Linked DNA regions of Oryctolagus cuniculus. The protein of the gene in region 7 purifies or fractionates together with the protein of the main gene of each other region. This does not show direct contact. Links are inferred from orthologs where the notes say so. Each region holds a gene or a part of one and is shown on either strand. Other genes may lie near its edges.

Region 1 (4,637 bases), on a different chromosome or scaffold from region 7:
CAGCCTGTCTTCTTCCTCAACTGTGTCAGGCCAGCTCCCACTTTGAAGATTCCTCAGCGCATATCTGACTCCAGGGGCTACACTTGTTAGACTGTTAGTGGACTCAGAGCCCCTCTTGCTAGGTCTGTGAGGACTGCTGTAGGCAGTGACCACAAGCTTGGTGGCTTAAAGCACCCGAAATGTAATCTCGTGGTTCTGGAGGACAGTAGTTGGAAAGCAAAAAGTCGACAGGACTGCAGCCCCAGAGGCTGAGAGGAGAGGGTTCTCTCTCGTCTCTTCCAGCTTCTGGTGGCTCTGATTTTTCCTTGGCATGTGGCCACATCTCTTTATTATCTGCTTCTTTTTTTTTTTGACAGGCAGAGTGCACAGTGAGAGAGAGAGAGAGAGAGAGAAAGGTCTTCCTTTGCCGTTGGTTCACCCTCCAATGGCCGCTGCGGCCGGCGCACTGCGGCCGGTGCACCGCGCTGATCCGATGGCAGGAGCCAGGTACTTCTCCTGGTCTCCCATGGGGTGCAGGGCCCAAGGACTTGGGCCATCCTCCACTGCACTCCCTGGCCACTATCTGCTTCATTTTTTTTAAAAAAAGATTTATTTATTTGAAAGGCAGATAGAGAGGGTAGGATGGAGAGAGAGAGATGTTCTGTCTGCCGTTTCACTCCCCAGATGGCTGCAATGGCCAGGGCCAGGCCAGGCTGAAACCAGGAGCCAGGAACTTCATTTGGGTCTCGCACTTGGGTACAGGGACCCAAGCACTTGAGCCATCTTCCGCTGCTTTCCTGGGTGCATTAGCAGGGAGCTGGATTGGAAGTGGAGTAATCAGGCCTTGAACCAGTGCCTATATGGGATGGTGGCTTAACCCGTTACACCACAATGCTGGCCCCTTCTGACTGTTTTCACCTGGCTTTCTTCCTTGCATGTTTTCCTCTGTCTTTTGTCTTTTATAAAGACACTTGTTAATGGATTTAAGGCCCACCTGAATAACCCAGCAAGCTCTCATTTTGATCAAGGCCCTTAGTTTACATCTGCAAAGATACTTTTCCCAAATAAAGTTGCATTTATAGGTTTTGGGGCTACCATGCAGCCTACAGTACTTGGGAGGGAACATCCCCTCCGGCTTGAGGGTCTGTGTAAGGGTAGGGGTCCCAGCGCACACCGATGTCTCCTGCTACAATAATCCTTAGTTTTCTGCCTCTGGCAAAGTTCCTGCCTTAGGTGTGCATCCTGAAGATGGGTGCTGGTACAGAGTCCGTAACCAGTGCTAAGCCATGGCCTGTGCAAGTCTCACAGAGGTGGTTCAGCATCTTCCTTCGGAATGAGGGTGTTTGTGACCTCTTAGATCGAAACCCCATTTCGGCCAGAGGGATCAGCATTTTGCCTTCATGGCCCCAGAGCTCCTGCACAGAGTGTACTTATCCTGCTGGGGATGAGAATTCCCCTGGGTCTCATGGGATGCCTTTGCTGCCTTTCTCGAAGAGCGTGCCTTGGATGAGCAGGCAGCCCTGGAAGAACCAGCTGTGTGAGATGGTGCAGCCCAGCGGCGGCCCGGCCGGGGACCAGGACGTGCTGCCTGAAGAGTCTTCTCTGGGGAAGCCGGCCATGCTGCATCTGCCCGCAGAGCAGGGTGCTCCTGACGCTCTCCAGCGCTGTCTGGAGGAGAACCAAGAGCTCCGAGGTGAGGTGGACAGCAAGTAGGTGGGGCACAAAGTCAGGGGATCTGGTCCTGCTGAAGGCAAGGCTTCTCTCGTGCACCTCTGCGTCTGCTGGGTGTGGGGCGAGGGCACCCCGAGAGCCAGCTTGTGCTTCCAGCGTAGCTACCTTGCCTCCTGGTTCCAGGCGGGGTTCCCTGGGAGCAGACCGAGGTGCATGGCAGGGTCAGTACTGAGGCAGAGAAGGGAAGGAGATGGGAGAAAGCAGGGGTGGGCAGCAGAAGTGGGCTGCCTTGGCTGACCCCCAGGGACTCTGGGGCTGGACTGACACTTCCAGGCTGGACCAGCGTGGCCCAGCCTCAGAGGACCTCTTCCCTGGGAGGGGACTCAGACTTTCCTGGGGTGGGTTGCGGTCTTGTTTGAGAGGGGGGTGCTGTGGCCTGTCCTGGGAAGTGGGTGTGGCCCACCCTGAGAGGAGGTGGTGTTGACCAGCATGAGAGGCATGACCCCTGCTGCAGTGGGGTAGCTGATGCCTCAGTTGTGTCTTTAGTTGGCCATTCATGTCCTAGTTGGCCAGTGGCTCTTGCCACAGTTGTAGTCCCATTCCCCACCTCCTTAAGTGAGTGTTGGATGTGATGTAGGGTCTTTTGCTGATGAGTCACGTGCTCTGTGGCCTCAGGGAGTGGTGCTGGCAGATGCCATGCACGCAGGGAGCAGACCTGGGTCTGGAATGTGTGTCCTCTTCCTAGGAGACAGCTAGCCACCAAGAGACTGCTTGGTTTCCTTGAAGGTTGCATTGGAGAGGCCCCGCCTTTTTTTTTTTTTTTTAGATTTATTTATCTGAAAGGCAGAATTACAGAGAGGCAGAGGCATACAGAGAAAGAGAGGCCTTCCATCCGCTTGTTCACTCTGCAGATGGCCTCAACGGCCAGAGCTGTGCTGATCCCAAGCTGGGAGCCAGGAGCTTCTTCTGGGTCTCCTATGCGGGTGCAGGGGCCTGAGGACTTGGGCCATCTTCTGCTTTCCCAGGCCATAGCAGAGAGCTAGATCGGAAGTGGAGCAGTGGGTCTAGAACCAGCGCCCATATGGGATGGTGGCACTGCAGACGGCGGCTTTACCCACTATGCCACGGCGCTGGCCCCGAGGCCCTGTCTTGAGCACAGAGCAGCAGTGTCTTCTACCTCAGTTCTGTTGACCTCTGGGGCCAGCTAATTCTCTGTGGTGAGGGCTGTCCTAGCCATTGTGGCATGGTGAGCAGTATCCCTGGCTTCTACTCACAGGTGCCAATAGTGCCCCTCCAGTCCCCTGGGAGTCACAGTTGTCCTTGAGTGGGACCCACTGTGCTGGGGTCTTCAGAACAAGTCATGCACATAGAGCTGGCAGCCAGATCGGGGCCTCTGCTCATCCCTAGGGGCCCAGAGCATTTCAGAGCAGTTGTGCAGGGCTCATGCCATGGCCTGTGGTGGCTCGGCTCTTCTGCCTCCTAGACTGTGTGTTCAGCACAACAGCTTTGCTAAGTCTCTGGCAGCAAGTGGAGACTTGAGGCTATATTGCCTCCAACTGGGAAGCTGGATAAAGCTTGGGGGGCAGCATGTGAGACCCCCGGGGCCCTGAAGGTGATTGTCCCCCAAGGTGCTCATGATTGTGTCTATAGGTAGGCTGTGAAACCAAACAAGGGAGGGTACAGTGTTTGCTCAGAACGTTTATGAAGAAACTTCCCGGAAGAGCTTGCCTGTATTCACGTGACATGTCTCAGAGACAGAAAGCAGTTGAGTGGACGCCAGGAGTGCGGGCAGGGGGCCTACGGGAGAGAATGCTGCTGGGTTTGGGGTTTCTTTCTGGGGTGCTGGGAATGTTCTGGAATTAGGTAGTGCTGATGGTTGCATGATCTTACAGCTTCATTAGCTAAAAACCACTGGATGACTATACTTTAAAATAGTTAAAATGGTGAATTTGATGTTACATGAATTTTTACGTCACTAAAAAGAAATTTAAAAGACATTGCACACAAGTTGAGACTCGGGTTGAGTGGGCAGGCAGCAGTGATGGCCAAGGGTTTGGAACATTCAGTGATGTGAAACTACTGTCTACCTCTGTTGGATACGGTTCTGTGGTTGCCCTAGAACCTTGCACGTCACTGATCGCTTTTGTCAGATGCTTCTTCCTCTACCTGGGGTGGTCGCTGGGTATGTGGCTTTCCTCTCCTCTGGCCTCTGCCAGCCACCTGCCGCTGGCACTGATATATGCTCATGGCTTAGTCTGGCGAGAAGAAGACTGCTCTTATTTATTTATTTATTTATTTATTTATTTATTGACAGGCAGAGTGGATAGTGAGAGAGAGAGAGACAGAGAGAAAGGTCTTCCTTTTGCCGTTGGTTCACCCTCCAATGGCCGCCACGGCCGGTGCGCTGCGGCCGGCGCACCGCGCTGATCCGATGGCAGGAGCCAGGAGCCAGGTGCTTTTCCTGGTCTCCCCATGGGGTGCAGGGCCCAAGCACCTGGGCCATCCTCCACTGCACTCCCTGGCCACAGCAGAGGGCTGGCCTGGAAGAGGGGCAACTGGGACAGAATCCGGCGCCCCGACCGGGACTAGAACCCGGTGTGCCGGCGCCGCTAGGCGGAGGATTAGCCTAGTGAGCCGCGGCGCCGGCCAAAGACTGCTCTTTTTTGAGTTTCTGCACAAACACTGTGTCTGCTGCTGCTGCTTAGAGGGCAGGTGTTCTTGTCCCTGTCGAATACGCAGAGGCAGGCACTGAAGCTTAGACAGGCACCTACCTTGCCCCATCAAAGCCAGCAAGGCCACAGTGAAGTCTGCTTTCGTGGCCATCCCGAGTATGCAGCTGTGTTAGGACCCCTTGATCCTGAAGACACCAGAGATGTAGGCGGGGGAGGACCGAACTGAGGAGCTCAGGGCAGGCGTGTTTTGGACTGAACCAGAAGCCGGGTGACTTAGAGAGCTAGCTGCTCACAAAGAAAGTAACGTTTGGCACA
Region 2 (4,112 bases), on a different chromosome or scaffold from region 7:
CTGGGCCCCGTGCGTCTTACTGGTGACCTTGGGCACAGCTCAACTTCCTTTTTTCATTCTAAAATAAGAGCAGCTGGACGAGGTGATCTTGGAGGGTATCTTGCATCTGTATCAGTCCAGGAACATGTGTCCGACCTCCTTTCACATTTAACAAATGTTTCCTACGTGTCCTCCATGTGCCACACCCTGTGTTAAGTTCTAGATCTATCGTTATGAACAAAACTGGATGTGATCCTTGCTCTCATGGAGGGGAAGGGAAGCCTGCTAACCAAGTGATCATGTAATGGGGCATGAAGTTGCACAACTGCTGCTACAAAGGGTGGTGCGTGCTGCTGGGAGAGCAGATAATGGAGGCGGGAGTTGTGGACTTGGGGAAATGTGGCTGAGATCCGGAGATGTCATTTCTTCCTTCTCTTTGTAGGCGATTGTACCTCCTCCCTGGTCCGCCGGAGCTGGCCCCTTAAAGGGGAGCACCCCCTTGCGCCCCCTAGGTGAGGCCTGGTTCTCATACCTTAGGATGCTTCTGGTCACAGCAGAGGATGCTGGGAAGGGTCAGGCCTTGACACTAACTTGATCCCCTCAGGGAGGGGTGGGGAGGATACACAGTAGCTCCCAGCCAGAGAGGAAGTTGGAGTCTATGTCCCAGTGGTCGGGGTGGGGGGACACCTGTGGGAAGTGGGCAGTCTGGCAGCGGCCGGCCTGAGTTCCAGGCAGGCAGCAGTGGGCTGATGGGCTAGGGGCAAGGCCTCAGGGTCTGGGACGGCTCCGAGAGTCAGACCAGGCCTTGCCTAGGCTGTCCAGTGGCAGGCCTGCACCTCAGGAAGCTGCAAATCAGAGCCCATGCAGGGGCTGAGCTGTTCACACCTTACCTTGTCCTCGCTCCTCACTCCCCAGGGCCTTTGCACGCCACCGTGGGAGCTCAGCTGACAGTGCTCCCCCACCAGGGAGGCACGGACAGCTGTTCAGGAGCGTCTCAGCAGCTGGTAAAGGGACTGGCTGGGTTCCTGGGGGTCAGGGGAATGGGGAGGAAGGGGCCTGGAAGGAGAAGCGGGATGAGGGAGACATAGAGGGTCCACTGCCATCGCCCGCCTGTGTCCCTCCCTCTCTGCACTTTGTCTTCCATCTGTCTGGGCAGCCTTCCTTCAACACCCAGGCCAGGCACACCCGGTAGGTACAGAGCCCCTAGAGACACACACTGTCCTCTCTTCAACAAGCTGGGGCCCAGAAGCCAGGTGGAAACCACACACAGATAGTCACAAAGCCAGCCAGCCAGCCCAGGCTCAGCATTGTGCACCCAGTGGCTGCCCGCTTCCTGCCATGGGGACCCCAAGCTTTCTGGACAGGCTGTCTTTCCTGGGCTCCAGCCTGCCCTGGGCTCCAGCCTGTCCGACGCTACCCACACGCCGCCCATGCTGCGCTCTGGCATCTCCAGGCCCTTTTTCCTGACCTGTGTTCCTGGCCTCCCCTCTCAGAGGCCATCCAGCGGCACCGCCGGAACCTGGCTGAGTGGTTCAGCCGGCTGCCCAGGGAGGAACGTCAGTTTGGGCCAACCTTTGCGCTGGACACAGTTCACGTTGACCCTGTGATCCGTGAGAGCACCCCCGATGAGCTCCTGCGTCCACCTGCCGAGCTGGCCGTGGAGCAGCAGCCGCTGCTACCGGGGCCCCCGCCGCTCGCCCTGTCTCAGCTCTTTGAGCCAGACGCCTGCGGGCGCCGGGTACAGACTGTGGTGCTCTATGGCACGGTGGGCACAGGCAAGAGCACGCTGGTGCGCAAGATGGTTCTGGATTGGTGTTACGGGCGGCTGCCAGCCTTCGAGCTGCTCATCCCCTTCTCCTGTGAGGACCTGTCGTCCCTGGGCCCCGCCCCAGCCTCCTTGTGCCAACTGGTGGCCCAGCGCTACGCGCCCCTGAAGGAGATTCTGCCCCTGATGGCTGCAGCCGGGTCTCGCCTGCTGTTTGTGCTCCATGGCCTGGAGCGGCTCAACCTCGACTTCCGGCTGGCGGGCACGGGGCTTTGTAGTGACCCCCAGGAGCCGGGGGCACCGGCTGCTGTCATCGTCAACCTGCTACGCAAATACATGCTCCCCGAGGTGGGCGGCCCCTGCCCCACCCCTGCTGCCCTTGCACTTGCCCTGGGGGAGGGGGTTGGGGTCCTGGGCCTGCATGTTTGATGGGTAGAGAGTTGGGCCTTGTGTTAGTTCAAATCCTGACCTGTTCACTTCCCAGCTGTGGCCCCAAGTGATCCTGTCCCCTCCAGGCTACGGTTCCCTTTTCTCCTTGAGTTGTCCTGATGAAATGAGATACTGCAGATCAGAGCCGGGGCTCAGCAAGTGTTAGTTATGAGTGTCGTCATCCGCCTCCTCATCCTGGGAGACTGTCTTTGGGCGGCGGGGGGGTGGGGGGGAGACGGAGGCAGTCAGGACGGTAGGGTCTTTCTTAGCCCTCAGCCGTGTCCTTCCCAGGCGAGCATCCTGGTGACCACACGGCCCTCTGCCGTCGGCCGCATCCCCAGCAAGTACGTGGGCCGCTACGGAGAGATCTGCGGCTTCTCTGATACCAACCTGCAGAAGCTCTACTTCCAGCTCCGCCTCAACCAGCCGGACTGTGGGCACGGCGCGGGGGGAGCCGGTGTCTCAGCCACGCCCACTCAGCGCGACAACCTGGTGCAGATGCTCTCGCGGAACCTGGAGGGCCACCACCAGATCGCCGCCGCCTGCTTCCTGCCCTCCTATTGCTGGCTCGTCTGTGCCACCTTACACTTCCTGCATGCGCCTACGCCTCCCGGCCAGACCCTCACCAGCATCTACACCAGCTTCTTGCGCCTCAACTTCAGTGGGGAGACGCTGGACAGCACCGACCCCTCCAATCTGTCCCTGATGGCCTATGCAGCGCGAACCATGGGCAAGCTGGCCTATGAGGGCGTGTCCTCTCGCAAGACCTACTTCTCGGAGGAGGACGTCCGGGGCTGCCTGGAGGCCGGCATCAGGACGGAAGAGGAGTTCCAGCTGCTCCACGTCTTCCGCCGGGATGCCCTGAGGTTCTTCCTGGCCCCGTGTGTGGAGCCGGGGCACCTGGGCTCGTTCGTGTTCACTGTGCCCGCCATGCAAGAATACCTGGCCGCCCTCTACATCGTGCTGGGGCTGCGCAAGACCACCCTGCAGCGGGTGGGCAAGGAAGTGGCCGAGCTCGTGGGCCGTGTCGGGGAGGACGTCAGCCTGGTGCTGGGCATTGTGACCAAGCTGCTGCCGCTGCGGATTCTGCCCGTGCTCTTCAACTTGCTCAAGGTAGTCCCTAGCCCCGGGGTTCCCCCCGCCCCGCCCCGGTCCCTTCCCTCCCCAGGACCCCGGGCTGCTGCCCACCTGCCCCCTACCAGAGCAAACAGCTCTTTCTGGAGGTGAATCTTCCCCTTGGCTCTGGTTTCAGCTCTGGGCCATTTGGCTGTTTTTTTTTTTTTTTTTTAAAGATTTTATTTATTTATTTGACAGGTAGAGTTACATACAGAGAGAGGGAGTGGCAGAGTAAGGTCTTCCACCTGTGGCTTTACTCCCTAAATGGCCACAACAGCCAGAGCTGCGCTGATCTGAAGCCAGGAGCCAGGAGCTTCCTCCAGGTCTCCCACGTGGGTGCAGGTGCCCAAGGACTTGGGCCATCTTCTCTGCTTTCCCAGGCCACAGCAGAGAGCTGGATCGGAAGTGGAGCAGCCGGGACTCGAACTGCTGGCACTGAAGGTGTTGGCTTAGCCTACTATGCCATAGTGCCGGCCCCTGGGCCATTTGGCTTTTAGTAGGAATGGGGCATAAGGAATGGGGAGAGAGAAACCACAAGGCTGGAGAAGCTTTGGAGGCTAGGAGGGAAGCTGAGGGCACAGGCACCTTAGTGACAATCAGGCAGATCCCTAAGCACGGTGTCCTTTGTGCGTCTCTCCGTCCAGTCTTTGTGGCTGGGAGCAGGGGTCACCACGGTCCAGGGCCTGTCATCTGCTCCACAGGTCCAGAAACTCGATTGTATCTGTCCCTACACAGGCGATTAGACTGCGCGTGATGACTCATCCTGATGAAATCACCAGGGACAGGCTTATAAAGCAGAGGTCATTTGATTAATTTACCCAGG
Region 3 (4,112 bases), on a different chromosome or scaffold from region 7:
TTGTTTTTCCCAAGGTTCATATGTGGAAATCCTGGTGCCCTTAAGAAGTGGAGGCACCTTTAAGAGTAGAGTCTACAGGGGAAGGTGAGGTCACCGTGGAGTGGCCCTCAGAAGGGACTAAGGTAGCTCTTGTGGAACCCACTTAGTTCCCAGGACAGTGAGCCCTTCTGACAGACCAAGCCACTTCAGTCTGTGCACTGGACTCCTAACTCAGATTCCCAACTCCCCCTCTGCGATCTCCCCTCTCTGTCTCACTGTGTTTCTCCCAGGGCCAGGGCCGTGCTGTCTGGATTTCACACTAGTGAAACTGTGAGCTAAGTGAGTTCCTTTCCTTCCTAAGTGCTCAGCCTCAGTCATTGCTGTAGCAATGGGAAAGTGTTGTGACCACACACACCCCAGTATGTGTGCGCCCCATGGGGCGAGAATGACACCACAGCCCCTCCCACGCCAGCGTCCACGGGGCCTGCACTTGCTGCACTCCTTCCTTCCCACCCCACCTCCAGGCCAACTACAAGCAAATGGACAAGGAGGCCTCCTCTGTCCCACAAACCCCACAGTGTCACTGGACTTCCTGCTGTGCCTTGCCCTCCGGGGACCTGCGGAGGACTCTTGTGGGGGTGATGGAGAGTATCACAGAGGCACATGGCTTCCAGATAAATAATGAATCTTTTTTTAAAGGAAAGAGAAAATCACATTTTGGTGTGTTCTAGTTCCTGTCCCCTTGTGGTGTGGCGAAGCTTTCCAGTCTGGGGCTCTGAGGGAGGCCAGAGAAAAGGGAACCTGCGGGGCCTGGCTCTCCTCCCCGCTGCCCTTCCTTCTCCCCTGCCAACGCTCCCAAGCACTTGGCCTCTGACCTGCTCTGCCTCCCCCTGCTCCTGTTCTGAGGCCCTTGCCCCCCTGACTTCAGAGCATGGCTGGGTTTGGAAACAGGGTCTCCAAGGAGGAAGTTAAGCCAAAGCAAGGTCCTCAGTGTGGGCCCCATTCACAGGAATGCAGGAAGAGTTCATGACGCAGATGCACAGGGATGACCCCTGAGGACACAGGGGAAGACAGCATCAAGGAGCCCACGAGCGAACCTCAGAGGCCACCAACCCTACGGGCCGTGGACTTGCCGCTCCCAGAGCTGTGAGGAAATAAGCTTCTGCTGTCCAATGTCCAAGCACCACCCCTGGGGCATTTTGTTTCCATGACAGCGTGGGAAGTTCCTGCGCCCTGATGCAGTCCCTAAGAGCCTTCTCCAGTCTCCCCTCTGTCAGCACTGCACACCCATGGGCTTACCAGAGTCTGCGAATGTTGCAGCCGGGATGCTGGAGCGCTTCACACAGGACCCTCATCCCAGGGTCTCCCAGGCTGTTGTCACTCAGGTCCAGTTCTGTCAGGCTTGGATTGGTACTTAGAACTGAGAAGAGGCCCCGGCAAAAGCTGGACGTGAGACAGGAGTTCACCAATCTAGCGGTCGAAGGAAGGAGAGCAAAGGAAATCAGGCTCCACAATAGAAACTGGCGCAGGGGCTGGGATACTTCCTAGGGTTAAGAAAGGGGTCATGAACCAAAGGCGATTCCTGGAGGGAGAAGGGGCTGAGGACATGAGAAGACCAGGCGGACACCTCATGATGGACGGAAGTGCAGCCTGAGGCTTGGCTGATCAAGAGGGCCTTCTGCTCCCTTTCTCCAGCTGTCCTGACCACAGCCCAGACACTATGGGAGACGTAGGGAGTCAGGTCCTCCTGTGAATGAGAGAGAGTGAGCCCACGGGGCTGACAGCCGCATCGCAGGTGCTGTCACCCGCAACACAGGTGCTGTCACAGGCACAAGGCTGGAATCTGCAGCAGGGCCGGCTTCTGCCAATGACTTTCCAACTCCAGGTCGCTCTCTGTGCAGTGACACTTGGACTCGCCCTCAGCTCTCGTTCACACGCATGTCTGATTCCATATCTAGGACTGGGTGTTGATTCTGCTGTGCTGACCAGGCCCCCTGAAGGTTCTGGGACCACTAAGCGAGGTCCAGGGGCCGAGAGTGGCTGCTGTCACCAGAACCCAGTGCTGAGTTTCTGCTCCGGGGATGCCACCAGCCTTCTCTGGGTGGGAGTTCTTGCTCAGGCTCCTGGCTGCTCCCCCACAGACCCAGGGCCGCCTCCTTTCCTGTCTGCCCACCTCTCCTTCCCCAGGGCTCTGGTCTGAATGTGGGGTCTCCAGAGGTCCTAGGTTGAAACTTTCACCCAGCACAGTGCTGTGTGCTGTGGTTGGGGGCTGGGCTCCTGGGGGTGACGAGGCTGAGGGTGGAGCCCTCGTGAGCAGGATCAGGGCCTTTGCAAGAGGAAGCCCAGAGATGCCCCGCCCTTCACTTTGTGAGGACGTGGCTGGAGGCCGCCACGTGGGAACGGCACCCTCCCCTGCCAGGAACCACCACGCGGACGCTTCACTCAGGCTGGGCGCAGGCGCAAGGCAGCGAGCAGCCCCATGGTCGGCTCTGTCTCCAGCAGGTCTGAATTCCTGGCCGTCTCGGAAATGGGCCTGCTTCCCATCCCTGTCCCTGAACGCTACTCCGTTCACCATGGCAGGACCCGGTCCTTCCCGGCCGCGGTGGGCCGGAGGGCATCCGGGCAGCCTGAAAGAGCGGGAACTCACCACTGCCGGCAGAAAGACCCAGTTCCCTCTTGGTCCTGTCCCAGCCTCGTGTGAAGATTGACACACTGGCGCCTTCTACCGCTGGGCGCCCAGTGCAGACCGCGGGCAGCCACAACACCCAGGCAGCAGAGCCCGGCGCTCCTCCCCGAGCCTAGGATGGCGGGTTCCAGAACCTTCGCGTCTCACCACAGTGGGGCAGGGACGGACCGACCTGACTGAGCTTTCCCACACCCGGCACCCCTCAGCATCCACAGCGTTGAAAACCAGCGAGGGGTGCACGTCCCCCGATCTCTCTCGGAAGGCTCGTTCCCAGGTGCCCAGGTCCCAAAGCACTGCCCACCCTCCCAAGCTCTCGCCTTCCTGGGCTGCCCCTCACTGCCCTCAGGTCTCAGGGCAGCTCGGGTCCCTCTCCCCTGAGACTCTGGGCCTAGGGCTGTCTTACCCGGTGCGGCCAGCTGCACAGCCTGCCCCTCAGAAGCCCTCACACGGATGGCCCTAGGTCTTGGACTCCCGCCTCTGTGATCAGAGACCACATCTCTGCCCTACACTACGTAGGCCCAGCAGTCCTGATCTTACTGCTGGAGCCTGGCACAGAGCCCCAAGCAGATCACCAGAGGCTGGAGTGTGTGTGAAATCCCACATCCCAGCTAACCTCTGTGAGAAACCAGCATCCCCAAACATTTGCTGACTGCTTTACTCTTTCGGGGGGTTGTTTCTTACTCATCTCATCTATCTGCCAATCATGAGTCAATGGGTCCGATGAAGAGATCTGGCAGGGATGGGGGGCATTGTTTTGTGCCTGTGGAAACTGCGATTGGAAGACAACTGAACAGGGAGAGCAGGAGCAGCCATTTAGCTCAGTGGTTAAGATACCCATGTCCCATGGGGAGGGAGCCATGCAGTGGGTGAAGCTGCAGCTTGGGTTGCTGCATCCAGCTTCCTGTTAATGCTTCCTGGAGGTAGTGGATTGAGTCCCTGCAACCCACACAGGAGACCAGGAGTTCCAGGCTCCTGGCTTTGGCTCCTGTTGCAGGCATTTGGAGAGTGAACCAACAGATGGAAGATCTCTCTCCCACGATCTCTGCCTTTCAAGTAGATGAAAATGCATAAAGAAAAATTATCTAAAAGATGCCCACATCCCATATCAGAGTGCTTGAGTTCAAGTCCCTTCTCCGGCTCCTGGCTCCAGCTTCCTGCCAGTGCAGACCTGGGAAGGCAGCAGCAATGGCTCCAGGTGACTGGGTCCCTACCACCCACATGGGAGACCTGGATTGTGTTCCTGACTCCTGGCTCCAGCTCCAGCCCAGCCTTGGATGTTGCAGGTTAGGGAGTAAACCAGTGGACGGGAGCTGTCTCTCTGCCTTTCAAATATATAAGAAAATAAAAGAGGAGAGGAAGTGAGTACAAGAACAAGGTGCAGCAGCAGACGCTTACTCTACCCATGGCTGCAGATGAGCTGGCTTACCTCCATGAGCAGGCGGCATGA
Region 4 (4,556 bases), on a different chromosome or scaffold from region 7:
TGTAGCTCCTCTCATCTCCTTAAAGGCATAGCAGTGGGGCTTCTCTCTTGGAATACCCCTGCTCCAGACACTGAGGTTCTGATGCTGTCATACATACCCTGAGTCTGGGCTCAGAGGAGCAGGGAGCCCTAGGATGTAGCTTGGCCCTCGCAGAACAGTTGTTCAATAATTCTCTTTGTTCCTGATTGGGAGTTCTCCTGTGAGCCTCTCCTTTTTTTTTTTTTTTTCTTCTCTATTTGGAGACTAAGAGGATGGCTGGTTCCCAGAGGGTGTGATATGGCAATTATCATTCTCAGACATAGCTCAGGTTAAGGCTTTCTTGATACTAGGACCCTGGACTTTGCCCAGCCTTCTGACCCCCCCCCACCCCATCAAGAAGTGTCTCTTGCCTTGCACTCTGCTCTCTTCATTGCAACATCTATTTCCAACTTCTCTGCCAACTCCTGCTGGCATCTTAGCTTTTTTAATGCCACCTGGAGCTTTTCCTGCCAAAAACAAAGTAACAGGTTAATCCCAACGAAACCAAGAAGTAGGGTGGAGTGGCTTGGGGTGGGAGATGATCATTCTGGTTCTTCAATAAAGCCTAAACACAGAGAAGGAGGGAGGACTGGGGTCTGATTAGGGTAGGCATTTGGTGGATAGGCAGACTGTGGAAAAAGCCCAAATCATGCGTCTTACAAAAAAGAACTACTGGCCGGCGCCGCGGCTCACTAGGCTAATCCTCCGCCTAGCGGCGCCGGCACACCGGGTTCTAGTCCCGGTCGGGGCGCCGGATTCTGTCCTGGTTGCCCCTCTTCCAGGCCAGCTCTCTGCTGTGGCCAGGGAGTGCAGTGGAGGATGGCCCAGGTGCTTGGGCCCTGTACCCCATAGGAGACCAGGAAAAGCACCTGGCTCCTGGCTCCTGCCATCGGATCAGCGCGGTGCGCCGGCCGCAGCGCGCCGGCCGTGGCGGCCATTGGAGGGTGAAACAACGGCAAAGGAAGACCTTTCTCTCTGTCTCTCTCTCTCACTGTCCACTCTGCCTGTCAAAAAATAAAAAAAAAAAAAGAACTACTGGCATGGCAGGATGAGGGCATTTCTCACACCTAATTTATCAGGAGTCCACAAGGAAACATGGACTTCATAGCATTTGCACAGAGTGTATCCACTACTCTAATGAGAAGGTTGTGTTTAGACTGGACATGAAAGGAGGAAAGTATCCCTCTTTTCCCAACCTCTGAACTCCAGAGGTAACAAAACTCACCCAGCCCCTCTCCTTTGGATCTGTCCATGTCTCTGCGAAGGCCTCACCTGGTACTCTTGAGCAGCCGCGTCAATAGGGACTGTGTGGTGCTCACGGTGTTTCTGGTATTGGGCACACACCCAGCAGAGGATTTGCCCATCTTCCTCACAGAACAGGTGAAGTTTCTCTCCATGTATCATACACCGCTGCCCTTGTGGCTCATCCTTGGCAGCCTGGCTGTTTTGTTTAAGGTTGTCCACCACGTTGGCTAGATGCCGATTGGGCCGGAGGTTCCTGAGCAGAAAGTGATTCCGGCACACAGGACAGATACCACCCCCATCTTTCCCAACATTAGAGATACATTCCTGGCAGAAGCTGTGACCGCATTCAATGATCACGGGCTCCACCATGGGATCTAGGCAGATGGCACATGTGACCTCCTCCCACATCATTGCCAGGGGCGTTGCAGAAGCCATGGGAGTGACAGTCCTTGTTGGGCAGCACTGTGCAGACCTTGGGGTGCTCTGGTGGGGGAAGAAGGAACAGAAAAGAAGAGATCTGCATGACAGGAACACAATAATGCAAAGGAAAACAAGATGAGCTGGTGGTGCCAAGCAAGAGAAGACAAGAACATCAACCCAAACAGCAGGAGCCTCTCCTCCACAGTCTGGCCCAGTGATCCTGTTGGAAGAAGGGAGACAGAGTCCTCCAACGAGGAGAAAACGGGGGAGAGACTCAGATAAGTCTGCTGACAATTCTACTTCATCATGTCCATCTGGGTTACATCCTCAGAGCCTAGGTTGGAGGAGGTAATCATAGTATGAGCAGTCATTTACCAGGTGCTTTCTATGTGTCAGAGAGGAGCTATGTGCTTTGTATAATATCTTCACTACTGTTCAATATAATGGCAAGAGTCTCTCTCTGTTCTACTCCCATATATATGAAATACATAAAAATTCATGGGGGGGGTGGCACTGTAGCATAGTGGGTAAAGCCGCTGCCTGCAATCCATATAGGTGCTAGTTCCACTTCCGATCCAGCTCTCTGCTATGGCCTGGGAAAGCAGATGGCCCAAGTCATTGGGCCCCTGCACCCATATGGGAGACCTGGAAGAAACAGTAGGCTCCTGGCTTCTGATAAGCTCAGCTCCACCACTGCAGCCTTTGGGGAGTGAACCAACAGATGGAAGAGCATGCGGTCTTTCTCTCTGCCTCTGCAACTGTGCCTTTCAAATAAAATAAAATCTTAAAAAATTCATAAGGGGTCTTCAAAAAGTTCACAGAAAATGTATACTACGAATGGGTGCATGGATTTCCAATTTTTTGCACCAAAAGTAAATTCCATTTCCATTAACTTTGAAATATTCTGCTACAGATGTGAATATGTCTGTGCACTTCCTCTAGGGCAAAGAATCTTGAACCTAAATAAGTTTCTAATTGAACACCCTAAACAGCCTGCCCTTTCCCTTTCTAGCAGGAGATTGGGGACCAGTTTAGTAGAGTGAGGATTCTTCCACAGGGGGCTCCTCTGGGCACCCACCAGCTCCCTTACACCCAGGGTCACCTTTTCCCTTGGCCCAGTTCAGGTACCTGCACTACAGCAGCCTGAGCTCCACCCATCCCTGTGGTTTGTAAGTCACACTCAGCCCAGCCTCCTCTCAGGCAGACCGGCCAGTGCTGGAAGAATGGCTGGGCTTGGGTTGAACGAGTCGGGGCCAGTGGGGTTGAAGGCTCTAGGGTTAGTGAGTAGCTGGAAGAGAGAATCAGAGGCAGGGGAGAGAGACCCTCCCCCACCCAGGCAAGAAGGGGTACTGTGGTCCTGCCGGGTTCACTCACCTGATCAGGCGATTCAACAGCTCTCTATTTCACTTTCAATTTCCTCTAAGAGGCCAGTCTGAACGGAAAAGGGAGGAGAGTGGGAGGAGAAAGGGGAGGGGCCCCAGGGAGGAGGATGAGGGAGGGGTGGTGGGAGGGACAGGGCAGAGACTGGGCGGGGTCAGGGCGGAGGCAGGGGATGACCGGGTGTAGGGGAGAAGGAGCAGGGCAGAGAAAGAAAAGTGGGAGGAGGGAAGACAGAGCCAAGCCGGGGGAGTTGTCACAGCCCAGTTAAACCTCAGCAACATGTCATCTGGGCGTACACTCCTCCTCCTGTCCTTGTCATCTATCTTAGTGAAAAAAATCGATGCTTTGACACCGGCCATCACCTCGTACCTGAATGCTATGTGCACCTCTGGGAGCTGCTATTCAGGAGGTTTGGATGCAAAGGATGCCTGGCTCTCTCCTTCACAGGCCTCCACCACCTGCTTCCTGACAGCCGAAACAGTTGCTTCCCATCGGACTCATGTTTCTGGTGACCTCCAGGGGTGGGAGATTTATTCCTCAGGACTCTGAGGCGGATATCACATGGGGCAGTGGTAGGAAGGGAGCTGACATTTTATTGAGCACCAGCTGGGTTCTTGTCATTGAGCTAAGGATATTTTCAGGTTATATCATTTTTATTTTTGATATTTAAGATAAAACAAATTTCATGTAACTCATCTACAGATTTAGGAACCTAGTGATACTTCTCATCCTTCTCTCCCTCCTTCCTCTTATTCCCTCAATTTTTAGGATGATCTTTCAGTTTACTGTATAACTCATGAGATTAACTCTTTAGTGTAGGGTTAAATAGAAAAAAAACCACTATTCTACAGTATGTTATTTTAATATGAGACATTTACCACCTTAACCATTTTCAGTTTGCCATTGAATGTCAATGAGTGCATTCACCTTGTTGTGGCACCATCACCACCATCTGCTCCAGAACATTTTCATCATCCCAGGCTGAAATTCTGTACCCAGACAATAACTTACTATTTCCTTTCTCTCAGGCCCTGGCAATCACCATCTGCTTTCTGTCTCTATGAATTTGACTACTCTAGGTGCCTCATATAAGTGGAATCAGCTTTAGAATATGTACCTTCACAGCTGGCTTATTTCATTAATATAACGTCCTCAAGGTTCATCCATGTTGTATCACATGTCAGGATTTCCTTCCTTTTTAAGACTGAACATCCCATTGTATGTACATTTTATTTATCCATTTGTCTGATGTTGGATACTTGGGTTCCTCCTACCTTTTGACTATTGAGAATAATGTTGCTATGTTAGGTTATATTATGTAAGTCACATAATAATTTGGCAGATTAAGGGTTATTATGGTTTATGTGAGGGGAGGGGTGCTGAGGCTGAATGGATGAAGCAGCTTGCTTGAGGTGACGTTGAAAACATTGATACATGTTTGTGGAAGGTGCAGGAAGACCCTCATTCTAGGGGCAGTATAGAGCTAACAGATT
Region 5 (4,112 bases), on a different chromosome or scaffold from region 7:
CCACTGAGTCTGCACACTAGCAGAGAGAAGGGAAGCAGCACACATGCGGTCTGGACAACACAAATGCCCAATTATGTTGGGCTCTGGTTAAAGGGTTTGAATGTGCTGAACTTGCTCTTCAAAACAAAAGGGGCAGAATGGGTCAAGCCATCTGGAGTTTAGAACTAGTTAGGCCGCAAAAGGAAGCCATCTTAAAGAAAAGTGGGCACTAGTCACACAGTACAATTAGAGACCAAGACAAGACTACCAGCAAACTAAGGCCAAGTCCTGTGTGGTTTTATGCAACAACTATGAGCAAGAAAATGAGTCCCAAAGGTTTCCCGAACTAGAAGAGCCCCTTCCAACTCTAGTTTGATTTTAAACATGAGAGGGGAACTTGGACAAAGATCCTCAGGGAAGAGGTAAACCGACCTTGCGTCTCTTGGCAGGCATACCACTGAGGTAGGCGTCGCTCAGGGGGGGCTGCGGCTTCACCTTCCGCTGGCTCTGAATGTCCTGCTGGATGATAGGAACCCATTCCTGGGAAAGGAAACATCCAAAAGTAGTAACTCCCACAACTCCCAGTGGCCTCAGCTCCCTGGATCACCTCTCAGCACTTACTGGGGGCACAGCAGCGGCCCAGGGTTCTGTCTCGGCTGAGGCTCCATCCTGTTCATCCTGGGAGCCCCCCTCAGGGGCAGGGGGCGGACCTCGGGACATGGCCTCTTCTGCTGTAGTTCCAGGAGCAGGGGAGGCATTCTCCCGCTGGCAGTCAGACGGTGGGAGGAGGCAGGTTTCAGAACTGAGACCCAGCCCTGCCCTCTCAGCCCCCCAGTTCCCATCATCTGGCCTCTCCACCCCTCCCTGTTACCTGAGGCTCTGGGGACGTTCTTTCTGCTCCTTGAACTTCCATGGGCTCCTCAGGCAGTGGCTGTGAGGTTGGAGAACACCGACAGGCCCTCTTAGACCCCGCCGGCCCCCTCAGGCGCCCTGGTCCCAGAGCCCGCCGTGTCCCTTACCTGAGGGGGATCACCAACCCTGCGGACGTATCTGAGGATGGCATCGGGGCCCACGGGCATGTGCTCCAGCACCACCTGAAGCCGCAGGCCCATCATGGTCGTCAGCCAGCTCACCAGTGACGGATTCACTCCACGTGACATGCGGCGCTGAGGGGCAGAAAACAGACTGGGAAGACAAAACCCTCAGCCGGCTTTTAAAATACATCAGATCTAGGGTACAGGATAGTACTTGGGAGAAGAAAAATGAGGAGCAAGGAGACCTCAAGAAACAAATGGCTGGGGAGCTGGGGTGGGATGGTGCTTACAATTCGGCCATTGATGACAGCAGCCAGCTCCATCTGCTGTCCCCCCAAGCAGTGCAGGTTCAGGGCCAGGCACTCAAACAGGCCTTGGTTACACAACTCCAGCAGCCGGGCCCCAAATCCACTGTCTGCAGGCAAGATATAAGGAGAGAATGCTGGCACCTGGCAGCTCTGCACACCCGCTACATACCATGCACCCACACCTAGCCAGCCCCTGCCTGGCCAGGCCCTGACCTGTGCAGTGCAGCACATGAGCAGCAATGCTATTAAATTGCTCTTGAAGAAATTCCAGGTTTGTCCGGATGATGTCCACACCAGGCTGAACCTGCACCAAAGACTGCGGGACAAGACAAAGACCCCAGATCAGGAACCCTGAAAGATCGGAAGTGGAGAAGGCACTACGGACATCAGCTGTCTGGACCAGACCCAAGGAGAGGAAGGCAATACAGAAGGGTCACTCACAAAACTCTCCCGCACGTATTCCTCTAGCCCTGTGATCAATGTGTGTGTCGCCATCTACGGGGAGAACAGCAGAGGTCAGGCCCAAGCCTCAGTCTCAGGAGACTTCCTTCTCTACCCCTCCCCCCTCCACAGGTCCATGTCTAGGGCTGGCGCAGTCAACGGCGTAAGCTGATACATGAACAGGGTCAGAAACAAGGTACTGAAGGGGGAAGTGGGAGGCTTCTAAGGCTCCGGGCCTTCATTTACCCGGATGTTACCAGGTGTGGGCTCCTGGCCACCCAGGTAGTGCTGGTGGAAGAAGGATCGCAGCTGGGGCTGGAGCCGCTGCAGTGGCTGGAAATGCCCATGGAGAAGCATTACCACGTCCACCATGGAGAAATTCTGGCACAGAAGAGAGAGGAGAGCCCCAAAGAATCCTGCGGACAGGGGCGAAAGTTAGCAAAGGCCTTTACCCCCAGCCAGCCCATCGGCCTCATCCCATCTTGGCAACCTCCCTAAACAAAAGCCATCTACCTACCCCCGGCTGTCCCTTCCCTGGCTATCCCCTCCTAGAGAAGACCAAGGCTCCCGTCGTTGCTCACCGAGGGCTCCATCAGCCCCAGGCTCAAAGATGTTGCTGGAGCCACTGAGGCGCTGGATGAAGGCGGCAATACTTTCACTGCTGCCAGCGCGAGCTCCCAAAGAGCCGAGCAGAGAGCTCAGCACGCCTTGTACCACGGAGGTGAAGAACTCCGGGGAAAGGCTCTCAGGACTCAGGCCTCCAGGACTCCCTGTGCCACCAGAAGGGGACCCTGGTGGGGCCGTGCTCTGCTGCTCTGGGGCAGGGGGTGGGGGTGGAGGTGGTGGAGGGGGTGGAGGGGCCGCCTGTGTTGCCTGGGAAAGAGAGAATAAAGATGATGAAGTGAGACCTGAGAGTAAGGACAGACACCGACACGGTCTGGGGAGACAGGGGGCCGTATTCTAAACCTTACTCCTTAGGAAAGAACACTCGTGGCAAGGGAGTCCACAGCAGAGCTGGCCTAAGCAACTCCTCTCTCACTGTATGGTTTAGACCAGAGAGCAGGACACTAGCCACTACAGCGTCTCTCTCTCTTCTCTAAAGCCTTATTTCCCTCATCTCCAAAATGGGAGCAGTTCAGTCAATAAAGTCCCGGCTCCCTTCTCTGGCCACAAAATTGCAGGCAATGGCCCAACAGCTACCTAATGGCAACACAGCCCCACTGCCTGGCTAGGCTGGGGCACGGGACGGGTGAGGAGAAAGGCAAGCCAGCCACTCACCTGCAAGAAGTCACTCATGCCCTGGAGAAAGGCAGGGACGCCGGGCATTGCCACGGTGATGGTGGGAGAAGCCACGCCAGGCCCTCCAGATCCTGGCCCTGCAGGCCCCAGCAAATTCCCCAGAAGCTGAGAGAACTGCAGATCAGCTGCAGGAGGCTGAGGGGGTGGAGGCTGGGCAGGCCCCCCGGGGGCAGGGCCAGCTGTGGTAGCTGTGTTGGTGGTGCCAGCACTGGCTGAAGCAGTGGCAGGAGCTGGAGGTGGAGCCATTCCTGGGGTCCCCTGAGCTGTAAGGAATCAAAGGCAAAACGAAATCTGAAGAAAATTCAGACATCACAGCACCCTCATTAGGTGTTAACAGGACAGTGAGAACCAAGAGAACATGAGAAGAAATGGAAAACAGCAGTTCACACGGACAGTGTCGGGCTTTGGAATCATGGCGATCTCTGAAGTGTGGGGTGTGGAAGAGCGAGGACTCACCCACAAGCACAGGCTGCATGAGAAGCTGCCCCACAAGGCCGCTCACCATCTGGGCCAATGAGGCGTTGGTACCCAGTCCAGCACCCTGCTGGGGAGAGAAGTGGGGAGATTTTTATCCCTACCTTTCCCACATACCAGTTTGGGGTTCTTTCCCCTAACTTTTCCCCACTGGAACAACTCCCCTACCCTTGCTCACCAGAGCCCCGGAGACTGGAGGCCCCCCAGGATGGGAAGGCCGAGCCTGTGGAGGAGTTGGCCGGGCAATCACCACCCGGGTTGGAGCTGTTGGGAAGCCTGGGACCTGCTGTCCTGTGGGGGGCAGAAGAGAGAGACCGGAGAGAGCTGAGGGCTGGGCCCTTGGCCACTAGCTGACAGCACCCGCCACCATGGACTATGCCCCACCTCCCAGGCCTCCCCTTCCAGGTCATTACCTGCTGCCGCGGAGGCAACAGCTGCCACCATGGCCTGATGAGTGATCTGGTGGGCGACGGCGTGCATGAACTCAGGGGGCAGGGAGGGCAGCTGGATGAGGGTGGAGCCTGGGGGGCGGGTCTGATGTAACCTTGAACCTGGACCCCTTTAACCCACCCATTCA
Region 6 (4,112 bases), on a different chromosome or scaffold from region 7:
GTCAATGCCAGGGAAAATGTTTACCATCCTCAACTTGCCTCTTGAAGCCTGAGTGGAATTTAAGAAGACTATTGTTATGTATAAATTCTGCATATGACATAGAAAACATATTTTACCTTATGTGTCAACTCTTGCCACTTATTAGTGATAGCCTGAATGATGTTTTGAGAAAGATTCTGAAATCAGAAGCAAGGAGATGTTCTCTGAGTAGCTGTGAACTGGTGACAGTGTTTACTAGGGACTTTGGACAGACTAGTGGTGGCATGCACCTCCCCTCATTGCCATTCCTGTGCTAATTCCATCTACTTGAAGTAGAGTGTTGGGAGGACAGGTCTCGTCTCCAAAGAAGACCCCAAAACACAATCTGCTCAGAAGTCCTCAAAGGAACTGTGTCTTATTCTAAAGTAACTGAAAAGTTTGACCCATTAACTCCAGAGATTGTCTTAGGTTGTATCTCAAGAATAGTTTTAAAACATCACCCTTCGTAAATAGCTGCCTGGTTCATTTTCTTAGGAAAGTAAACGTGAGGCAGTAACTTTCTAGTGGCATCATTTGGTGACAAAAGTTTGATTTGATACTCCAAAATGTTTGGTTTGCCTTCTATTTAAAAGGGTTTTAAAATACAAGTTTGTGTAGAAACCTGGCCAGGAAACCTTGGAGTTGGTTACAGCTTTGCACACCAATTTGAAAGCATCCCTTTTGTGAAACTCTATTTAGGGTAGAGCCAATTCCAATGTTAAGAAACTAACATTCACACCCATATGCAAGGGTGTGAATTTTCTTCTAAATGGATTGTTTGCTATTATAGTAGTTACAGTTTTTTAATTCAGTGGTATGGGGGATTTCCTGAAATATTGTAGAGATACATTCTTCCTTCACCACATTCCTTCACACGACTCCAATAACTCTGTGTTAGTAAACTGAGATGCAGCTAGAAGACATGTTACATATTTTCTTATTATTTAGATTCAGCTTCAGTGTCACTCCCACAATGTTACCTTCTTCAACCACTCGATCCGAAATACTCAGGTAGTGACTGATTTCATATTCTCTTAATATAATTCCTTAGCATTTTTCTCTACATGATGTATATCTAGTGTTTAAATTTTTGTCCATTGTTTTTCCTTGTCAAATCTCGCCAAGCTCATACTAGAATGCAAGCTTCATGCAGCAGCGTTCTTCTCTGTGTGGTTTGCCACCATGTTTGTTGTTCCTAAAACATTGCCTGACACATAGTAGGCACTGTATAAATATTGCTGGGATAAAAATGTGTGCTTATACAAAAGGTTTGGATCAAACTCAAATGACCAGATTGGGTTGAATGGGTGAGTTGTGCTAGTTTTCTGGATTAAAGGCAGCCTAAATTTATATCATCAAAGTTCATTGTTGGTTTGACTGGAATGAGCTCCCTGACAGCTTCCTGCCCACCATGGATCTTGGTAACTTTTGTTTGTGAATCTGAGCTACGGACAACGCATCAAACAGGAACTTATAATTCAGCACAATTTCTGTCTGGAGACTAAGCCACAGGGATATCAATGGCAACCACATACATCCATTTTTTTTTAAATGAAAACTAAATCCAGAGGTATCCAAAAACAATACCTTATGCTCATACTCCTCTGGTTTCATATTTTGAACACGATGTATAGCTGTATACATCATCTTCTCTCGAAAATCATTCACTGTCTCACGTTCAACAACTCCTGAGCCACTGCAGCCAACCAGGATGTAGGTGCTCTCATCAGCTCTGGCTCGACCACGGGCCTGAGAAAATAAACAAATCAAGTAAATGAAAGGTTATGTGTTGTACAAACTCTACTGGTTTTATGCTGAGAATGATATTCATTGCTCAGCATTCCAGCCTTCAAGTGATCTCACTAGTCTTAGTATAGTTATTATCCCTTCCTGGTAGGTCAAGCCTTTGAATCTTAAAATGTGCTTTAACCCAGAAGCAGTGTTCTGGAGTGATGATGGTTGGGCCCCTATACCAGCCTTCAGATGCCCTCCTGTCCAGCTTTTCTGTTCTCATAGCTCCTCTCTCAAAACATGGGAACTGTGATCAGTGACTTGAACTGGGATTCCCCTGTCTGGCAAGAAGGATCCATGGTGAAAAGGGAGCATTTCTAACATGACATCAGGACGCTGAGAGAGGTCTGTTCCTGGCATTCCACATTGGAATTTGAACATATTTTCTCATGAAAATAAGCTCCACTTCATGACAAATTCCTATAGACATCTCCACAAAGATGTAAAGGTACATTACAAATAAAAGAAGTCTTTGTGCTCTGGCCCAGGAGCCTAGCTATTAACTATAATATTATCATCAAGGAAAACTACATTCTGAGGGAAAAAAAAAAAAAAACTACTCACAAATCAACTCTGGAAATAAAATTACTTCCATATCTGTTAGTCTTCTATGATTTACCTTACATTCAAGGATGCAACTTGGTATTAAAAAATAACACTTGGTATGGGTTGGAATGCTAGCATCACGTACAGGTGTGCCTGGGTTCAAGTCCTGGCTCTGCTCTGGATTCAAGTTTCCTGCTAATGTGCACCCTGAGAAGCTGCAGGCGATGGCTCACATAGTTGTGCCCCTGCTTTCTACAAGGGAGACCTGGATGGAGTTCTCAGCTCCTGGCTTTTCTTGGCCCAGCTCTAGCATTTGTGGGATTAAATTTGGGAAGTAAATCAGTTAGACAGGTGTTCTCTGTCTCTATCGTTCTACCTCTCTGCCTCTCAAATGAGTAACTTTTAAACAATCCCTTAGTTCAATCTATGGGAAGAATATTATATCAATTAGCATGACTTCTGTTATCCTCAACAAAAGGTAATGGAAATATTGTTAATACATAAATAAATTGAACATTCAAAGGAAACTGTATCATCTTACTCTTATTGATTTATTTACATTTGCATTTATAAGTCCATCCTCACCAACAGATTATCATGAAAATTTTTAAAGTTGTAGAAAAATTGAAAGAATAAGGAATTAGAACACAGGAAGGGCACGCTCCCTAGAGCTTGGACACATTATTTTGTAAGACATTCATCTCACAAATGTGTGCTTCCTATTTTTGGTCCAGTGGGGGACTTGCTGACATCTTAGGAATAAGGAGGTCTCTTTGGACTCCTAGATGTGGGGCTAGTGTAATGGTCTTGGAAAGTCTTGAGACAGAAATATCAACCAAGCAAGAGTTGTTTAAAAGGGCAACAGATATCTGGTCACCATATGAGTCAAACAGCAATAGCAAAAAAGGCAGTACTGCACAGTTCTTTAAGATTGCTCTTTTAGAATGGGACTGGGGATGGGAGAGGGAGGAGGAGAAGAAGTGGGAGAGTAGATAGGAAGGTGGTATGGTAGGAAGAATCACTATATTCCTAAAGTTGTACTTATAAAATGCATCAAGTTTGTATTCCTTAAATAAAATGTTTCTTTGGGAGGGGGAAATGAAGTGCATCTTGGGAGACAGCAGGTGATGGTTCAAGTAGTTAGGTCCCTGCTACCTGCACAGGGAACCTGAACTGAGTTCCTGGCTCCGGGATCCTGGCTTCACACCTCTCCCCCACCTCCTTGTGGACAATTTGATTATCTATCTTTATCTCTGCCTCTCAAATAAAAATATTAAATATAAAAAATGCTCTTTTAGCAGGAAAAAAAGGATATATTTTTAAAACACAAGAGAGGTTTTGTGCTGTTTTCCTAGAAGAAAGCAATTAAAATAGGAACACAGAAATAAAAATTAACATATCAGAAACAGGTATTTGAATGTACCTGGACCATGGCAATTTCATTAGTGACGAGACCGTAACGAATAATGACATTACATTCTTTGATATCCAGACCTTCTTCTGCCACTGTGGTAGCTATAAGCAGATTTATTTTTCCAGTGCGAAATTTACTAATGACTTCTTTTTGTTCATTCTGTAGAAACATTTTAATAAATTAAATTTTGTGATGCTAAACACATTAAAATCTTCTAATTAGGAGATGGAATAATAAATTGCAACTCGTCAGTGTAAATCAAAGGATTAGATCATACATGAATTTGCTGCCATCTGTTTTTGGCATTGAACAAAGACATGATGGGGAGACAACATTTGATTTC
Region 7 (4,112 bases):
TGACTGCCGGCCCTGCCCTCTGGCCACAGTCCTCGGGGCTGAGTGATACCTTCCAGCCGCCTACTTTTTCAGATTAAAACTGGCGTCTGCGTGAACTGCTCACTGCCCTACCCAACAGGGGAGCAGGGAGGGCTGGGCGAGGGCAGGCGGGGGTGATGCACAGGAATGCAGGCCGCTAGAGAAGGGGTCTCCCTGGTTTCACAGCTCAGGCTGCTGGGCCTGGAGCATGAGCTGAACAGCAGCTCAGAGGAAGAAGTCTTTAGGACCCTGCAGGCGAAACTGGCGGCCTGGGCAGGGCACCAAACCCCGCGGGCTGCCAGGCTGGCCGTGAGCGACAGTGACCCCCAACCCCGATATCTCTGCAGACACTGGCTCTTGTCCCCTGCAGAGCTCAGGAACACAGGTAGCTCCTGTGCCTGCCCCTTGTCCAGTGACGGCCACCTGCAGAGAACCCATGCACCCCAATGCATTTCTAGTATAAACATAGCCAATCTTCCCACCAGTGGGTGGGCAGGCTTCAGGCTGGGACCACAGATACCCACCTGGCCCCTGCGGGAGAACACCCCAGTCCCCATCCTGCACGGCTGGCCAGGTAGACACACCTCCCGCCCCCCAGTCCCCCGGTGCACAGGCAATCGAGGAGGAAGGAGGCCAAAGCGGGAGACCTGGCTCTGTCCCCAAAGGCGCGGCCAGGAGCTGCAGTCCCTCCAGACTTAGCAGTGGTCATAACAGGTGTCCAACTTAGAGCAACTCATCTCATCCTCACTACACACGAGGAGTCTATAAATACATATGTGTGTGCTAACCCCCATTTTACAGATGGGAATGAAGGCACAGAGAGGCTGATAGCTCACTCGGGGTCACGGAGCTCATGAGAGGCAGGGCAGCTGCAGGCCTGGCTGCCCGCCCTACAGAGCTGCACCCCGGCCCGTTGCACACTCTGCCTTTCATGCCCTCAGCTCTACCAAGCTGAGCAGGAGAGCGGGGGGAGCACTCAGTGGTCACTGGCTCTGGGCCAACCCCTGTCTGCTTTGCTTCAGAAAATCCCAGGAAAGCATGAGCCAGGTTCTCACGCTGTCCACGTGAGACCAGAGTCGGACCATCTGCCAAGGCCACCCAGCCCAGGGAGGGCTGCATCTGAGGCCCAGGCCTTGAGCTGAGCTCTGCTCACCAGGCGGCCCCTCCCTGACCCCAGAAGGGAGCTGAGAATGGAGACCAGAAGGGGGTGAAGTGGCTGGGGCAGGACTCACAGTGGCTTCTGGGCTGGGCCACTGGGGACAGGAGGTCTTATGAGGCCCCTCGACGCAGCACCCCTGCCCTCAGGTCTTCGGGCACCAGGACAGGGCGAGGGGCACTGCCAACCCCAGGAGCTGTCCAGCTGCACCTCCTGATCTGCACATTTGGGCAAATGAGCCTGGCAGGAGGCACCCCTCCCCAGCACATGGGGTGACAACCGGGATGCAGGTGAGCGGGTCTGGAGCAGGGGGGCCAGAGGAGTATCCAGAGAAGCCAAGGATGAAGAGGGACCCAGAGAAGGCACGATCCGGGACGGAAATGCTGTTTCCACATCTCCTGCCAGGCCTGCAGCCCCGCAGCTCCCCTTGGCCCAGCCCTGCAGCCCTGAGGAAGGGATGAAGGGCAGGCAGCATGCGGTGAGGGCTGAGCAGGTGTGCAGCAGGTGGTCCTGGGGCCATCAGTGAAGCAGGCGCCGCCGGTACAGCACAGCCAGCAGTGTGGCCATGAGTGCGCTGGCCACGGCTGCCCCAAACCACAAAGCCCAGGGCTCTGCCCAGACCCATTGCACAGTCTCGTCCGTGGGCTGTGGAGGCTGTTGGGTGGCGCTCAGCCCAGGTTTGCTTTCCAGGTCAGCGCTGGGACATTCTACCACGTGGAGCCCAAAAGTGCCCACCGACACGTACTCGTTCTCCTCTGGGCCGTGGCCGGGCTCGGGGAGCAGCGAGTTGCTGGGGCTGATGGCGAGATCCGCGGAGCAGCCCGAGAAAGGCTGGCTGTCCAGCCGGGAGGCCAGCACACCTGGCTTGCTCACCTCCGGCCCAGAGTGCAAGCTGCCAGAGCTGCCGTCTGGCCAGGGCTCACTGCCTCCTGTGGCACCTCTGGGTGCTGGAGCCACCGGGGTCCCCTGGGAAAGAAAGGAGAGCATTCAAGGAACCGGGGAGACAGGAAGAGAAGCTGGGTGGGGCGCCCCCTGCTGGGTGAGGGCATTAACCAGCAGCCTAACCTCTCAACTCCCGGGCCAGAGGGGATCTAATCCACGGTGGTGCAGGGCAGTGGGGGAGCCCTCCCGGGTCTGCAGTGAGCTCACCCCTGCTCCAGGAACCCACGGTGGGATGTGGGCCCACCCTCCATTAACATTTCTGCCTGGGCCTGAAGACCACAGAGCAGCCACAGCGTGTGTGGCCTGGCCATGTGTCCAAGGGTCCCGTGGATTGATTCCCCCAAGGGGACAGCAGCAGTGAGGGCTTGCAGGGGGCAGCTAAGGGGGGTTGCTGTGTCACAGAAGCTGCTCCAGACTGGATAGGCTAGGATGACCGCAAATAAGGCCTTGGTCATGCAGTGATAGGCTGGACTCCCTGGTGGGGCCTCCCACACCCTGCCCCTCACAGGTTCCTCATCTGTGCAATGGCCTTGCTAGGGGCTGGTGCTGTGGCGTAGCAGGTAAAGCTGGTGCCTACACTGCCAGCATCCCATATGGGTGCTGGTTTGAGTCCCAGCTACTGTACTTCCAACCCAGCTCCCCGTTAATGCACCTGGGAAAGCAGCAGACGATGACCCAAGTGCTTGGGCCCCTGCCAACCATGTGGGAGACCCAGAAGAAGCTCCTGGCTCCTGGCTTTGGCCTGGTGCAGCTCTGGCCACTGAGGCCATCTGAGGGGTGCACCAGCGGATGGAAGACCTTTCTCTCTTTCTCTCTGTAACTGACTTTCAAATAAATCAATAAATAAGTCTTTTAAGAGAGAAAGGAAAGAAAGAAAGGGCCTTACTGAGCTTACCTGGGGCTGAGAGCCCTAAAAGAATGAACGCACATGAACACAGCAGGTGACCCAGCATGCCTGAGCCCCCGCCCGAGGCAGCCACACTCAGGAGCTCCCCTGACTGTTATTCCTCCTCGGGTCTGGGTGAGGCCACAGACTGCACAGACAGACTGGGAAGGGTGCCAGGAGGGCCAGCTCTGCTGGGGCAGGGGTCCCACATCACTGCGAGGTGGGGTGAGACTCACCGCAGCCCTGGTGCTGCTCTTGACGGTGGGCGCCATGCCGGCAGGTGTTTTGGTGGGCGCCGTGCTGGCAGGTGTTTTGGTGGGCGCCGTGCTGGCAGGCACTTTGGGTGACACCGTGCCAGCACCTGTTGAGCTGATGGGCAGTTTGGATGGTGCTACACTGGGAAGCACGTTGGAGGACGTTGCACTGGGGGGCTTTGCGCTGGTGGGCAACTTGGAGGGCACCGTGCTGGTGAATGCGGAGCTGGCAGGCGCTGTGGGGGCTACTGTGTCCCCAGACATTGCGTTGCTGGGCACCCTGGAGGATGCTGCACTGGGGGGCACAGAGCTGGTGGGCACTGTGTCGCTGGAGCATACGGTGGCCTTTGCCTGGACACCAGCACCCTGTCCAGCAGCCAAGCCAGGGGGTGAGGAGGTGCCAGCGGATGAAACTGACGTGGCGGGTCCGGGCAAGCGGCTCGCCCTGGGAGTGGAACGGGCCAGAGGCTGGAAGGAGACGGACGGAGACACAGGTCCGCAGGGTGGCGCGGGGCTGGAGCCGGAGCCTGCAGGTGGCAAAGCAAAAGTGGAAACACAAACCCAAGGAACTGTTATCCCAAGGGCTGCAAAAGGGCCCCCTGCCCGAGCTCAGCATGCCTTCTGCAGCTGCAGGCCTTATGGTTGCAGCCACTGGCCTGAGTCCCAACAGCTGCCCTGCCCTTGACCTGTAGCCCCAGGTCTGCCCTGTCACAGGCATTAACTGTCCTTCCTCCTGGCAAGACCCAGGAGCCGCAAGGTTATCGTGAATTCTTCTCCCGCCCAGGACACCCCCTCTCACCTGCACCTGCTTTTCCCACCTTCTCCCTAGCCAGGTGGGACCTGGGACGCCCCTAGC

The links.
Region 1: the proteins of MAVS (region 7) and IKBKG purify together in Homo sapiens (affinity purification with western blotting; 4 studies listed by BioGRID and IntAct, with this or other methods). This does not show direct contact. The link is inferred for Oryctolagus cuniculus from reciprocal best matches to the Homo sapiens genes MAVS and IKBKG.
Region 2: the proteins of MAVS (region 7) and NLRX1 purify together in Homo sapiens (affinity purification with western blotting; 4 studies listed by BioGRID and IntAct, with this or other methods). This does not show direct contact. The link is inferred for Oryctolagus cuniculus from reciprocal best matches to the Homo sapiens genes MAVS and NLRX1.
Region 3: the proteins of MAVS (region 7) and NLRP3 purify together in Homo sapiens (affinity purification with western blotting; 4 studies listed by BioGRID and IntAct, with this or other methods). This does not show direct contact. The link is inferred for Oryctolagus cuniculus from reciprocal best matches to the Homo sapiens genes MAVS and NLRP3.
Region 4: the proteins of MAVS (region 7) and TRIM21 purify together in Homo sapiens (affinity purification with western blotting; 3 studies listed by BioGRID). This does not show direct contact. The link is inferred for Oryctolagus cuniculus from reciprocal best matches to the Homo sapiens genes MAVS and TRIM21.
Region 5: the proteins of MAVS (region 7) and BAG6 purify together in Homo sapiens (affinity purification with western blotting; 3 studies listed by BioGRID and IntAct, with this or other methods). This does not show direct contact. The link is inferred for Oryctolagus cuniculus from reciprocal best matches to the Homo sapiens genes MAVS and BAG6.
Region 6: the proteins of MAVS (region 7) and IFIH1 purify together in Homo sapiens (affinity purification with western blotting; 12 studies listed by BioGRID and IntAct, with this or other methods). This does not show direct contact. The link is inferred for Oryctolagus cuniculus from reciprocal best matches to the Homo sapiens genes MAVS and IFIH1.

Annotation. Positions count from the first base shown.
Region 1 is NC_091453.1:132,763,671-132,768,307, forward strand, and holds the start of IKBKG (NF-kappa-B essential modulator), read left to right. Parts: upstream 1-1,485; coding exon 1,486-1,672; intron 1,673-4,637. UniProt on the Homo sapiens protein: Regulatory subunit of the IKK core complex which phosphorylates inhibitors of NF-kappa-B thus leading to the dissociation of the inhibitor/NF-kappa-B complex and ultimately the degradation of the inhibitor.
Region 2 is NC_091432.1:111,131,573-111,135,684, reverse strand, and holds part of NLRX1 (NLR family member X1), read left to right. Parts: intron 1-421; coding exon 422-491; intron 492-894; coding exon 895-983; intron 984-1,472; coding exon 1,473-2,092; intron 2,093-2,464; coding exon 2,465-3,286; intron 3,287-4,112.
Region 3 is NC_091437.1:1,750,587-1,754,698, reverse strand, and holds part of NLRP3 (NACHT, LRR and PYD domains-containing protein 3), read right to left. Parts: coding exon 4,092-4,112; intron 1,450-4,091; coding exon 1,279-1,449; intron 1-1,278. UniProt on the Homo sapiens protein: Sensor component of the NLRP3 inflammasome, which mediates inflammasome activation in response to defects in membrane integrity, leading to secretion of inflammatory cytokines IL1B and IL18 and pyroptosis.
Region 4 is NC_091432.1:62,639,386-62,643,941, reverse strand, and holds the start of TRIM21 (E3 ubiquitin-protein ligase TRIM21), read right to left. Parts: upstream 3,217-4,556; 5' UTR 3,058-3,216; intron 1,747-3,057; 5' UTR 1,699-1,746; coding exon 1,291-1,698; intron 486-1,290; coding exon 390-485; intron 1-389. UniProt on the Homo sapiens protein: E3 ubiquitin-protein ligase whose activity is dependent on E2 enzymes, UBE2D1, UBE2D2, UBE2E1 and UBE2E2.
Region 5 is NC_091436.1:138,969,931-138,974,042, reverse strand, and holds part of BAG6 (large proline-rich protein BAG6), read right to left. Parts: intron 4,057-4,112; coding exon 3,949-4,056; intron 3,827-3,948; coding exon 3,714-3,826; intron 3,606-3,713; coding exon 3,518-3,605; intron 3,325-3,517; coding exon 3,041-3,324; intron 2,636-3,040; coding exon 2,344-2,635; intron 2,179-2,343; coding exon 2,009-2,178; intron 1,817-2,008; coding exon 1,763-1,816; intron 1,638-1,762; coding exon 1,535-1,637; intron 1,429-1,534; coding exon 1,304-1,428; intron 1,146-1,303; coding exon 999-1,145; intron 911-998; coding exon 851-910; intron 745-850; coding exon 601-744; intron 520-600; coding exon 412-519; intron 1-411. UniProt on the Homo sapiens protein: ATP-independent molecular chaperone preventing the aggregation of misfolded and hydrophobic patches-containing proteins.
Region 6 is NC_091434.1:79,413,718-79,417,829, reverse strand, and holds part of IFIH1 (interferon-induced helicase C domain-containing protein 1), read right to left. Parts: intron 3,929-4,112; coding exon 3,779-3,928; intron 1,768-3,778; coding exon 1,606-1,767; intron 1-1,605.
Region 7 is NC_091442.1:29,188,184-29,192,295, reverse strand, and holds part of MAVS (mitochondrial antiviral-signaling protein), read right to left. Parts: intron 3,784-4,112; coding exon 3,239-3,783; intron 2,141-3,238; coding exon 1,694-2,140; 3' UTR 1-1,693.